Drosophila melanogaster: one gene and its partner. The protein of the gene in region 2 interacts with the protein of the main gene of each other region in a pairwise test. Each region holds a gene or a part of one and is shown on either strand. Other genes may lie near its edges.

Evidence for each region. Proteins that work in one complex are often made in the same cells at the same time.
Region 1: the proteins of CG1368 (region 2) and RfC38 interact in a two-hybrid assay, tested with the Drosophila melanogaster proteins (one large-scale study listed by BioGRID).

The regions. Positions count from the first base shown.
Region 1 is NT_033779.5:11,128,432-11,134,322, reverse strand, and holds RfC38 (replication factor C 38kD subunit), read left to right. Parts: upstream 1-3,677; 5' UTR 3,678-4,151; coding exon 4,152-4,211; intron 4,212-4,321; coding exon 4,322-5,332; 3' UTR 5,333-5,391; downstream 5,392-5,891. Other genes in the region: CG4751 (uncharacterized protein), read right to left, coding at 1-1,870, 1,953-2,201, 2,267-2,436, 2,561-2,648, 2,702-3,059, 3,120-3,458; Nup160 (nucleoporin 160kD), read right to left, coding at 5,397-5,516, 5,590-5,891.
Region 2 is NC_004354.4:14,171,067-14,178,601, forward strand, and holds CG1368 (uncharacterized protein), read left to right. Parts: upstream 1-3,689; 5' UTR 3,690-3,760; coding exon 3,761-3,763; intron 3,764-3,904; coding exon 3,905-4,462; 3' UTR 4,463-4,604; downstream 4,605-7,535. Other genes in the region: CG12480 (uncharacterized protein), read left to right, coding at 1-382; betaNACtes1 (Nascent-associated complex beta-subunit-like, testis 1), read right to left, coding at 619-1,404; CG11581 (uncharacterized protein), read left to right, coding at 5,881-6,885.

The sequences.
Region 1 (5,891 bases), on a different chromosome or scaffold from region 2:
GCTGCCACTGCCATCTGCTGCTGCAGGAACGCGTTGAGGTCGTTGCTCTGCTTACTTTGCTGCATGTAGGAGTCATAGCCGAGCAATTTTGATGCCTGAATAAGGTTGTTGTAGTCGGCACTGAGAGCAGCTGCTGCCGCTGCTGCTGGCGAAGATTTCGAGGACTTGCTGGATGATGAGTTTGAGGATTGACCTCCAGTCAGAGCGTTAGCAGCAGGCACTCCCAGTCCGGCACCTGTCAGATAGCTGTAGTCTGATCCAAAGCCCAAGGTGCCCAGGGTGGTGGCTCCGAGGGCTTCCGCCTGCTGGAGGAGTAGTGCTGCATATTCCGGAGACCGGATGAGCTCGCTCATTTTTAACGGATCGTTTTTTAGTTCATCCAGCTCCTTCATCAATTTCGTTTTATACGAATTGGAAGTTGAGCTGGAGTTCGAGGAGGAGGATGAGGACGAGGACTTCGATGATCGTTCCGACTTGGACTTGCTACTGCTATGGGCGTTGCTGTTTCCGCTGCCTCCGATTCCCACACCCGTGGGCAGCGGCATATTGAAGCTATTCGAGTAGGCAGCCACCGCTGCTGCCACATTGGGGTCATTCAAACCGGACGATGCAGAGGCATTGCTTTGCTTAGAGCCACCCACCTTGGCTGCTGCCGCCGCCAACTGGTTTAGAGAGGAGCTGCCGTAATCCTTGCGCTGCTGCTGGAAGAGCGCAGCCAAATCGCCTTGAAGGAAGTTCGGAGGAAGCTGCCCCGCCAACTGAGCCAAACTAGCAGCCATCAGATCATTGGCCGTGGGCAGACAAGCGGCAGCTGGAGGCACCAAAGCTGCTGCAGCTGCCTCATATTTGTTCGGCGTAATGCTGGGGCTGTTTCGAGCAATATCGCTGACGCTAAACTTGCCCGGACTGGGCGCTGGCGAGTTGCGTGTGCGGGAGGTGGATGCGTGTGACGAGGTATCCGATTTGGCGGGCGACGGTGATGCCCTAACTGGAACCTCAAACTTGGCGGGACTGGCGGAGTTCGATTGTATAGTTATTGGGCTGTCCCTGGGCGAGGCATTCAAAGCGGAGGTCAGGGCCGAAGTCGTCACTGCAGGTGTGATGGCAGGTGGCGCAGTAACTGCGGGAACTTGGGGTGGTAGCAGCTGGCTGGGCGTTGCTGGCAAAACTGGAGCTCCTAAATTGGGCAGCACTGGCGGTAGACTCGTCGGATTGGGCGTGGCCAGAGGGGATAGCATCCGCACGGGGTTCATATTTAGACCGGACGGCATGCAGAGCTGCTCCTGAAGGGACATCACCTTAAGTTCACTTGCCTTTTGCTCCGCCTGTGCGTTAGATTCCTCCTCCGCCTTTCGGCCACTGTCCTCCAAACCACCCATAGCTTCACTGAACTGCTCCTCTTTAGGCGGATTTATCTTGACATCCCCGCTTAGATCCATAAGGACAACAGGTTTGTCTTCCTCCTTAACCTCCAGGTCATCATTGTCGATGATCTTGATAGTCTTGGGTGGAATGAAGTCGTCTTCCTGCTCACAATCCAGCACTGCACATATCCAGTTCCAGAGCGCTTTATCGCTCTGCTTGGAGGGAAACTTTGGGTAGAGTGTGTTTTTCAGCTTTTCGTTGTAGGTAACGTCGTTGTTATAGATGTTCCGGAACTTGACCATCTCGCTCCGGTACTGCGAGTAGTAGTCCACGCACAGCTGTATCTCAGAGCGCACCTCCTCGGGTATCTCCTTGTCCGGCAGCACCGAATACTGCATCAGCATTGGACGGCCATACTCCATGGACTGTCTGTTCTCGTTGGGCGGAACAATCCAAATACACTTGACCACCGACTCCAGGGTAGGGTTTTCATCGTAGTAAGGGGCTGTAAGATAAAATGTATTATTCGATTAAGGCTGAGATGAAGTATTTGCGCAGAATTTAAAAGGCCATTGGATAACACATACATATAATTAGGGAGACACAGGGCGTATAGGTGAGATCGCTGGCACCGCGCATTTTGATTTGATAGTCCAACTGTGCATCGCAGTCGCGCAACGTAGGTTCCGCCTGAAACTTGGGATGCGAGTGATACCATCCAACCAACAGCAATTGATCCTGAATCATCATCTTTTGAATATCACGCTCCACTTCGCCGGCTCGCTGTCGATCAAAGCGCGTGCTGCGACAAGGATATGTCTTTGTGATGGATAGAGCTGAAATGAAAAAAACATGTAGAAAATGCCTATGCAGTATAAATCGCAAGCCGAGCCGGACTCACTGTGTGTGTTCATGTCCCAGGTGCCACCTAGATAGCCGCACACCTCACGCACCGTCAAGTGGCAGTGAAAATCCGCCAGCAAGAGGGCAGAGGAGTTCACTGTAATGAGGAAGGGCTGCAATTTCCCCACCGAAGTAAACGGCACCGATTCAATCAACATGTTGGCGTCGCTGTGGATAAATAGAATTGGATTAAAATACCATCCAGCATATAGATTTAAACTAAAAGCAAGCCAGACTATTCTTTTAAAGAACCAACCCCCCTCAAAATTCAGTACGCATTTGGTCTACTCACTGTACTACGTTGCGATTCGAAACGGTATTATGTGCGAAAACGGTTCGCTTGACGACAATCTCCGGGGTGTCAGTCTTGCGTTCAGCATCTATGGATTCGATGGAATTAGCAAGGATTATAAAGCAAGTGAGCTTTACCTACCCAGTTCACAATCATCTAGCGGCGTCTCCTTTTGCAACGCGCACTTTCGCAAATACGTGTTCTTGTAGGCGTCCAGCTTCTTTCCCTTGTACTTGACCGAGGCCCAGCCGCAGCCGCTCTTCTTGTCCGGATTGATGATCCGCTTGCAGTGCATTGCCCAGGCGCTGGGCGTGAGGAATATTGTCTCAGTCTCATGGGATTTGATCTTACCGTCGGCCAGTAGATCGCCAACGAACTTCTGGCCCAGATATTCGATAGTCATTAAGCCCAGGCCCGGCTGCAGGACATTGGCAGCCATCAGCGTTTGCAGTGTGACGGTGCGTCCGGTGCCATTGAAGCCCTCGTAGTTCTCCTTGGTCTAAAGGGTTTGAATAGAAAATATTATACATTTTCAAAAAGCTTAAGGTATCTCGCTCACCTCATCGTCGTTGTCCTCGTCGCCAGCATCGCTATCCACATCCTTGTCGCACATGTTGTCCTCCAGTATGGCTACAGGTGCTGCACCATCCGTGGGCGGTGGCCCAGGGTCCGGAGTGACGTCCACAGCTCCGGTCGTCGCTGGTGCACGCTCCCCCTCCTCCGCTTGCACCCCTTCGCCAACACAATCGTTTGTTATTTGCAGTGGCGGCGGCGGCGGCGGCTGCAGCACCTCCCCCTCCACTTCACCGTCACCATCACAGTCTCCCTCGCCATCGGAACTGCTCAGCACCTGGTTCTCGCCTGACTCGTCCACACCATGTTCCACTCCGTTCTCCATGCGTTCTTGTCGCGAATTCTGTGCAATTCTACGGATATTTTACTTCCAAGATACTTAAGTTTTGCGAAAAAAAACTGATGGATGCAGTAAGGTAGCTGCTTTTTCTACCCAGAATACCGAAACTCATTAAAACCGCCAACCCACGGTCACACTTGCTAGCGGTCCAATTTTAACCGGTAAAAACGGAGGAATGGCGTTGCCATACATAACATGAGAAGCATTGAATCGGTTATTTATTACAGAAACACAAGAAATGTTTTTGTTTTCAAATGTTTATTTATCATAAAAGAGTTCAAGTCTTTTAGGCATTTTCGTAATCATTTATTTTGAAATCCATTAATTTTACTTGTTTTATCGTTGGTTTTAGTCGTGGCACGAAAACAGTGTAAATGTAATAATATTACTTTAAAATTAATTTTAATTGTGATCTGTTAAAGTATTTAATTTTTTAAATCATTCAAGCCGAAATAATCATTTGAAAATATGTGCGTGGCAAATTTAATGAAACCTCTAAACATCGATATCACAGCGTAGAAATCGACAATAATCATCAAAAACATCGAAGCTTGCAGCATTACTAGAAATAGTCAGCGGAAAAGGCGCGCATTAAATTGTTTTGTTAAATTACTTTTACGGTCAGAAAGTAACTTAAAATACATCCAATTACTATCGTATTTTACATGCGTTAACGAAATGGCACTTTGGGTGGATAAATACCGTCCGCGGGAGCTGTCCAAATTGGACTTCCACAAGGTAAATCAGCGAGGAAACCGGCGCATACATCTATATAGCTGGCCCATATATTAAAGTATCTCTTTTTAAAAAGGTTTTTTATTTTATGATTTTTGCTAATTTCGATGCAGGATCAAGCGGAGAACCTACGCAACCTTTGCAAGCAGAGCGATTTTCCTCATCTGATGTTCTACGGACCCTCGGGTGCTGGCAAGAAGACACGCATCATGTGCCTGCTACGGGAGATGTACGGATCCGGCGTTGAGCGGTTGAGGAGCGAGACCATGACATTCACCACGCCATCCAATCGGAAGGTAGAGGTGATGACGGTCAGCAGCAACTACCACTTGGAGGTGAATCCCTCCGACGCTGGCATGTACGACCGCACGGTGGTGATCGATCTCATCAAGCAGGTGGCCCAGACGCATCAAATTGAGATTAGTGGCCAACGGGAATTCAAGGTGATTGTAATTTCGGAGGGCGACGAACTCACCAAGGATGCCCAGCACGCCCTGCGCCGTACGATGGAGAAATATGTGGCCACGTGCCGGATAATCATATCGGTGAACTCCACATCTCGGATCATTCCGGCCATACGGTCGCGTTGCCTGGGCATACGGGTGGCGGCTCCCAACGAAACGGAGATCGTGTCCATCTTGCAGAACACTTGCAAGCGGGAGGGACTCGCACTGCCCGTGGAGCTGGCCAAACGGGTTGTGGACAAGTCGGAGCGCAATCTCAGGCGAGCACTTTTGATGCTGGAGGCCGCCAAGGTGGCCAAGGCGCCGTTTACCGCCAATCAGGAGATTCCCGACCTGGACTGGCAGGTGTTCCTGCGTGAGACAGCATCTCAGATTATCAGTGAGCAAACGCCTGCCAAACTGGAGAAGATCCGCGAACGCCTGTACGAGCTACTCACGCAAGGCGTTCCACCTAATCTCATATTCCGCGGCCTGGTCGAACAGCTGGTTAACAATTGTGATATGTCCATCAAGGCAAAGACGCTCGAGTTCGCCACCGAGTACGAGCACCGGATGCAGTCCGGCGCCAAGCACATTTTTCATCTTGAAGCGTTCGTCGCTCAGTTTATGAACATCTATAAAAAGTTCCTTTCTGAGCTGGACATGACGGATGATTTTTAAACGATTTACACGCTTTAGCATTTAATTCAAAAAACTTATTAAATAAACTGATTTAAACGAACTATTAACGTTCTTCCTGAAGATCCGTTCGCATCTGCAGAACGGCCATGCTCATCTTATCATCGGTGGTGCGCTTTATGGTCTCAATATATCTTTGAACTTCTTCTTCGAGTTTAAAGTAAGCCTAAAATAGGAATAGATTTGGAATATGATTGGAATGTATTTTGAGTAGAACGAAATTTATATGTATGACTTACCATTTCATAATCAAGATCATCCTTGCCATTAATCTTTAAACCGTGCAGCAGCAAATCGATCGTGCTGATGGGGAAGCAGAGCTGTGGGTTTGCTATGTTCACCGCGTGTTTGAATTCGAAATACTCGCTACCTGCTCCCAGCATGCCGGCGATTATTTCACATCCCAGATCTGCGGCTTCCAGCAGACGATTGTGTTTCACAAGTAAGTGGAGCAGTTCCCGGGAGTGGGATAACTTGTAGGAGTTTATCAGCCACTGGGGCAAGAAGGCGTTTAACCCGAGAAGCCTTTGAACCACGCTCT
Region 2 (7,535 bases):
GTCGGTTGTAGCCTCAACCGCTGCCTCTGCTATTTCTGGGGCAGATTCCAGTTCCTATCAATCCGCCGTTTCCCAGACGAGCTACGTTAATAGCCAGGCCAAGACAATCGTGGCCGGATCGTCTAGCAGTTCCTACCAGAGCGCCCAACCCATCGCCGCCTATGTCCAGGGACAAACCCCAGTCGTCATTGGAGCGAACACGATCACACCTGCCCATCTGTACGAGGAACCCACATCGAATGGCATCGAGGAGTTCAATCCCGATACCCATGTGCCCGTGGCCATTGGTGCCGACACCATTACTCCTGCCCATTTGCAGGCCAGCTACTCCAAATCCGTCCAGGAGACCCAGTACGCGTCGAACGGCGGCTATATTTACTAAGACAAATAACTGAGAGCCACAGAGTCTAATATAATCTTAAATTTATAACTTTTTTTTATTTTGGAACTATAGATCATTAAAATTTCCATAAGTGTAGAGAAAACCAATGCTTTCAATAAACACCAAGAGATTAAAGTACAAATCTATAGAATATGGAACCTTTTTCTGTCTCAACTTTCTCAATTCATACGATTTATTTTTGAAATTGGTACAAATGTAGCAACAAATGAATATGCCTAATCTTCGTCCTCTGAGACCTGAACGCGATAAGTATTTGGATAGAGCTGCTCCGTCAAATAATAGTAATTGGAGTAGGAGGACAGGTAGATCGACTCCGTAGTGTCAACGTCCTCCTTGCCGTCGGAATCATCGCCGAAGCTTCCCAGCGAATCTTTGTCGCAGACTATGGTCCGATCCACATCAGACTCATCCGATGGCACCTTCTCATTATCCGGATCGCTGCCATCTTCAGAGGAGATCAAAATTGGTTTACCATTGCTAAGCTTCGGCTCCGAATCCCAGCCAGCCATGGCTGCGTCCTCTTTGTTTTTGGAGAGCATCATTTGGACCTTCTTGTTGCGAGGACGAACACGATTGCGCGGCTTCTTGGGCTTCTTGGCCACCTTAATGGACTCCTCTGATTCTGGCTTTTTGTCGGAAAAAGCTTCCGGCTTGGGTGGCTTAGGTGGCATGGGTGCCTTGGGCGCATTGGCTGCCTTGGCCACTTTCGATGGGCCAGCTGTTGACGACTTGCGCACGAAATCGCCACTAACCACGAAGAAAGAATTGCCAGCGGTGCTCTGAACCCTGGGCATGGTTAACACAACCTTACTGGAATTGGTGAACTCGATGGTCACCTCCTCGATTTCGTCGATATTCTTCAACGGCAACATGGCCAATGTGGCTTGCACGCGCTTCTCGGCCGCAGCCGAGGATGGGAATCTCTTATGCTTGCGGCGCATAGATCCTTTGCCGCCGATGCGCACCACCTCCTCCATTTTCTTCAGCTTCTTGAAATCCATTGTTTCGTTAGGAAAACCTATTAACTTGTATGGGTAAAGTGCGTGGAAAAGAATTCTCTTGAAATGCTCACCTTGAAAATGCTGTGCTTTACAAATTAATATATTAATTAATATAATATTAAGTAATATTCGCTTGGAGATGTGAATCAACTGAGGTCCTCACGCCAAATCAGAAATGTGACTTTTAGACTGCAAAGTCATCGTCTTTTTTTTTTGAGTTTTTGACACGTGCTAAAAGGGTTGCCAGAGCTTTGTCATGTCCTTGCAGATGGGAACTCTAGACTCGAATATATAAATATCTAGAGTAGATATTGTCGACATCGATTCTTAGGTGCAGATGACCGCACGTCGTGCCTCAAGTAATCAATTTTGCATTAAACATAAACATATAAATATTAACTTTTAACTATGCATGTTTTTTTATCATTTTTATGAAATATAGTTTTTATTGTGTATATTTTCTTTTTTCGGAAAATGTATGTTTTAAGTTAAAAAATTAATACTAACAATTCCAGATCGAAACTTTATTTTATTTATAAGTTGAAATATGAATGTACTTAATATATAAATATTAATTACTATTTTCCAACATTAATTACCTCTTGTTGAAAAGGATAACTGTTTGCAGTTCTCAGAATGGCCATGGTTAAGTTAAGTTATCACCAATGAACTCTGAAATTTCCATCACATTTTGCTTGGCATCGTCATGCTTGACATTTCCTGCCTTTTTTACACTTGAAGATAATTCATCAACGTGATCATAAATGAAATCGATATAAAAATGGATTTTAATTATTGACACAGGCGAATCACAGGCGAATCATATGTGAACGGGCTATAAATCGTCAATAGGTTACCCACCTTGCGAATATGATACATAGATAATCTTAAAAAATTACTCTTTATGTTTCTATGCTACAATGTTGCAAGAGAATCAATACGTTTGATGGATTTGAATATTAATTCAAAAATTGCAAAGGTCTTGCTAAAAATTTATTGAATTGTAAATTTCTGGCTGTGCTGCATTTCAAGTTCACGGACAGTGGAAAGACGCTCGAGATGTGGCAGCAAGTAAAAGTTGTTACTTATTATGTAAAGACCGCTGGGGAACTCGTAACTCTGGCGGCCGGCGTCTGTTCTCAAGGCCATCTTCTGTCGGTCTCCACTGATGGGTTTTGTGTGTTTATGGGTTTTTAGAAAGTGCGAGTGGGGCTCCGTTTTTCGAAACACGACGTTCTGTGGGGGCCATCAATCTGGGCGAGTGTCTCGAACGAGGCCAAATGGATCTCTTTTTGTGCGCCGGCCCATTTCTGCGGTTGAAACAAGAAAAATGGTTGCTCCGGTGTATAATGTGTTAAATTGAATGTTAATTAGTGGAACCCCCTTAGTTTTTTTCCCCCTTTTTTTTGGGCTTTGTGCGGCACAAACCCCCCCCCCCCCCCTCCCTCCCTCCATTCCCCTTGAGTCCGACGCTAATAAGCCAGATTGAAGAGACCACAAAAAGGTGTCCCAAAGTAGTTCACCCGCCGCAAACCCGTTGCGTGGATGGAAAAAAATATAATATCGTAAATGAGCCAAACCCGTTTGCATGTGCGATTTCGTTCGATTTTTATGTTGAATTTAATTTTAATGTGATTTTCCGTTTGGTAGTTTAGCCAGCCCCCTCCCTATATATGCTTTTTAACCTCCGCCCTGATTAGTGTTGCCATTTTAGCCATTTTATTGCCAAAACCATCTAACTAAGTAAGCTCTGCCAATGATCTATGCTAGTTAACGTTTCAAGTTACCATTTTTTTTTCAAAACTCAGTTTTTAAGAAGTAAGTAAATATTTAACAAGTCGGCAGTTTTAAGTTGTAAATAGGTGATTAGCTCAAATGTTAGTATCTAAATCTTTTATATTATTACTTATTTTGCATTGTGCTACCACTACTACTTAATTGAACATTGCAAACGGTCTGGTGTACATAAACAATTATAAGTGAAGCATATTCTTAATTGAAAATACTTAAACTTTTTAACAGTTTTCACAATTAGCTGCCAACTTATGTGGCTATGTCCCCTCAGCCCCTCAGCACCAGTCAGCCGTTTGTTTGTCTTGATTTCATGGTGACGTCTTTTGCGGCGGCTTCTTCTTGGTCCGCTGGCCGCTTAAGCCTGCTCTTCTTCTTGCCCGGCGTCTGCCGTTAGTGCCGGTGTGCCACCGCTGCAGTTGGAACGGGCTCTCCAAAACCGGGGCTTTTCTTCGAAGACGGCCGGCAGCTATAAATTGACTGGCGGCTGGTAGGGACCGGCATCAGTCGCAGCCTCTAGCTCATCCAGCACAGTCGCTTGAAAACGCAGAAACCTCAACTCAAGATGGTCAGTGAAGGATTACAAGTTCAGCTTGAAACAAGGATACATCGATTTAACAATATTATTTGACAAAATTTTTTTTTTTTTTGCGGTGCTTAAAAAATTTGCTGTGTTTGTAATGTGTGAAGTGTGTTGTCCTACTTGCAGAAATTCCTTATTGCCTTCGCCCTGTTCGCCTGCGTGGCCGCCGATGTTAGCCACCTGAGCAACGAGTACCTGCCCCCCGTCCAGAGCTCGTACGCCGCTCCCTCGGTGAGCTACTCCGCACCAGCCGTGCAGCAGACCTACGCCGCTCCAGCCATCCAGCAGTCGTATGTCGCCCCCAGCAACGAGTACCTGCCTCCTGTGCAGACCTACTCCGCACCGGCCGTCCAGAGGACCTACTCCGCACCAGCTGTCCAGAGGACCTACTCCGCCCCCTCTGTTAGCTACTCGGCACCCTCTGTGAGCTACTCGGCTCCATCGGTCAGCTACTCCGCTCCTGCTGTCCAGCAGTCGTACTCCGCTCCATCGGTCAGCTACTCCGCCCCTGCTGTCCAGCAGTCGTACTCCGCTCCATCGGTCAGCTACTCCGCCCCTGCTGTCCAGCAGTCGTACTCCGCTCCTGCCGTCAGCTACTCCGCCCCATCGGTGAGCTACTCTGCACCCTCCGTGGATGTGGGCACCCAGTACGCCTCCAACGGTGGCTACGTCTACAGGAAGTAGGGATCTTCAACGAAGAGGCCTGCAACTGAACACGAAACAGTGTCCATAACTACATACTGCCCAAATTAACCATATATTTTTTTTTTTTGTTTTGTAAACTTTTGTTTACAACGAAATAAACCGAAACATCAATAATCCAAATAAATACTTTTGTTTTTAAAATGGGTTTCAGAGTTATAAAAACAAGCGTCTAATATTAATATTAATAAAATTTTTAACAAGTGTATCCCTATTCACTTTATATCAAAATTCCGGACCAGGATACCAAAATAGCGTACTAAAAACCACGCGCGACTTGAGTGCGGTTTGGTTGCGGTTTAGGTGCGGTTTTGTTGCGGTTTTGATGCGGTTTGAGTGCGGTTCGTTTTCAAAATCGAACGTCAAAAGCAAGTGCTTGTTGGTGCTTAATACTTCAGAGTAGACAAAAGGTGGCACTTTATAAGCCAATAAAAATATAATAAAGTATACGAATGATATGTCCATACAAAGTAAAGAAGATTTATTGGCATTAGTCTATAATGGTAATTTTCAAAATTAAAAAGCTTAATTCTTCGACTAGTTAACACTAAAACCTGTAGGACAAGAACATAAACATTTAACATACATCAATGTTTTAACTAAGTATTAGCGTTAAAAAATATAATATAAAGCTTTAATTAAGTTGGGCTTTTTATAAACAGCTTGCAGCTTTGATTAAACTTGGAAGCTGCGACTATTTTAAGCATTTTCAAAGAGCTTTTAGTTTAAATATAGCATGAAACTTTATGGTTTTCCTAGTTTTAACACTAAGCTTTTGAGTATTTCAAAACTATGACTTGCAGATACATTTTCTGAGAGTGCTTGGCATTTCTGAAAAATTATTTACTCAAGACTTTTTGAAATCATTCAAAACCATTATTTAGTATATTACAGTAAATAAAACGAACCTCCTCGACGTTTTTCCTGTTTTTAATTAACACCCTTTTGCTTTCAGGTAGTAATTTTTAAAATTTAATATTCATCATAAAGCTGAGCAAGAACTTGAATCTAAATCAAATAAAATGTTACCCTTTCATTGTTCTTTCTTTTCGTTTATTGAATCTTTTTCATTATCGCCTCTTTTCTTTGTGCGATGCTGAATTTAACATTCGATTTCGGCGTTAGTTTATTTATGTAAAATCCGGCCGCTAAATTAAATTTTATAGTTCAGTTTTGGCACCTCCCCTCGCACCTTCGATCACCTTTGGATTGGCGATTATTTATGGAACCTTTGTGATGATGCAAAGCAATTTCCGTTCGCCGAATGCGAAAGTGAAATGAGCCGGCCGCGAATTTATGTAATATGTTGATATGCCGTCTTATATATGGCGGATTTGGGGCCCGTGGCCGCATAGCCACCGTCGCCGTGCAAGTTCCCAGAGATCAAACCGGAGCTCGAGATGATGCAGCCATGGGCCGTTGTGGTCCTACTTCTGCCCCTGATCAACGGAGATGTGAGTCACCTGCCCAGGGAATATATACCGCCCAGTGCGGAACTGGAGCCAACCACACGGTCTGCTGCTGATGGCCAGGAGGTGCAGAAGGATCCATCTGGATTCTATCCATCGACTGGACTGCCACTGCCGCCGGGCTATGCCATTCCCACGGGCAGCAACGTTTTGCCACAGCCTGTCCAGCCGCCAAACTTCCCTCTGCCCATCTATCCACCATTCTACGGCTTCGGCGGAGGTCCTGTCGAGCAGGGAGGAGGACATGGTATTGGGCCAGTGCCTTCGGCCTATCCCAACGGAGGTGCATTCCCGGCGGGTCCTACCAATGGAGGCGCATTCGCAGGGGGTCCTACGAATGCGGCCTTCCAACTGCCACCAGGTGGTCCTTTCGGTCCGCAAGCTGGTAATTTTGCCCAGCCAGGTGGTTTCCCGCAGGCAGGTGGGTTTCCCCCACAAGGAGCTGGCTTCCAGCCACAAGGCATCCCTGGCAATGGATTCCCAACGCAAGGAGCTCCCTTCTCACCACAGCAGGGAGTGTTCCCATCACAAGGAGGTGCCTTCGGGCCACAGGGAATACCGGGCAATGGTTTCCTAGGAGGTAACTTCCCGCCACAGGGAGGGCCCTTCCCAGGATCCGCATATCCACCGGAGTTCTTGACAAACCAGGGACTTCCCCTCACAAATCCCCAGGGTCCCTTCCAAGGACCCAGTCCAGCAGGATTCAATGTGCCCGCAGGATTCGGCGGACCTGTGCCCGGCCAGAATCCCTACCAACAATTTGGACCCGGTTTCGGAGGACCCGCTCCGCCGGGCTACTCCGATGAGCCGGCGAAGGAGCAACCAAAGGACAGTGAGAGGACAGTAGTGGCACCACCATCGGCCGACGATCCCAAGAGTGTGGCGGATACGGTTTACGCATCCAATGGCGGCTATGTCTACAAGAGGGCCAAGTAATGCGATGGCTTTCGAAGCCCCAAATTGGGGAGTTCATCAAACATGTTCGCCATAAATTATGATCCATATTTTGTTTTTTTTTTTTCTTGTATTTTTTGTGCCTTTGTTTTTATTCATTTATTTGATCTGCTGGCCATAAAGATGCGGACAGACAAAACGATTGTCTCTATGCTAATCGAAATCTTTGCCAAAACTGACTGATAACCATAAACGAGACAATCTATCGTCGTGATTGATACATATATATAGACAGACCTATGTTTTATGCATACCCTGGCCAGACACATATGTGTTCATAAACTATGTTGTCTTCAAAAGTCAATACAAGGCGATTAAAGGCTGAAATAAAAAACACGATTAGTGGTTTGGGTGTGGACTAAAACCGAAGTCCTACGATAATTATGCACATTCACCATCAAGGTTTATTGAACTCTGATATGTTTCTGGATGGAATTAAGTTTAAACAAAATGGTACAAGAATTAAAAAAAAAAACATCCACAACTTAAAAGCAGTAATAGTTTATCATGCAACAACAATGGATCATTAAAAATGGATTTATGTTTATCATTTCATATTCTAAAATAAATCCAACTTAAAAACGAATAAATTCAAATGATTGTCTTACATGTATAAATTTTGAATTGACGTC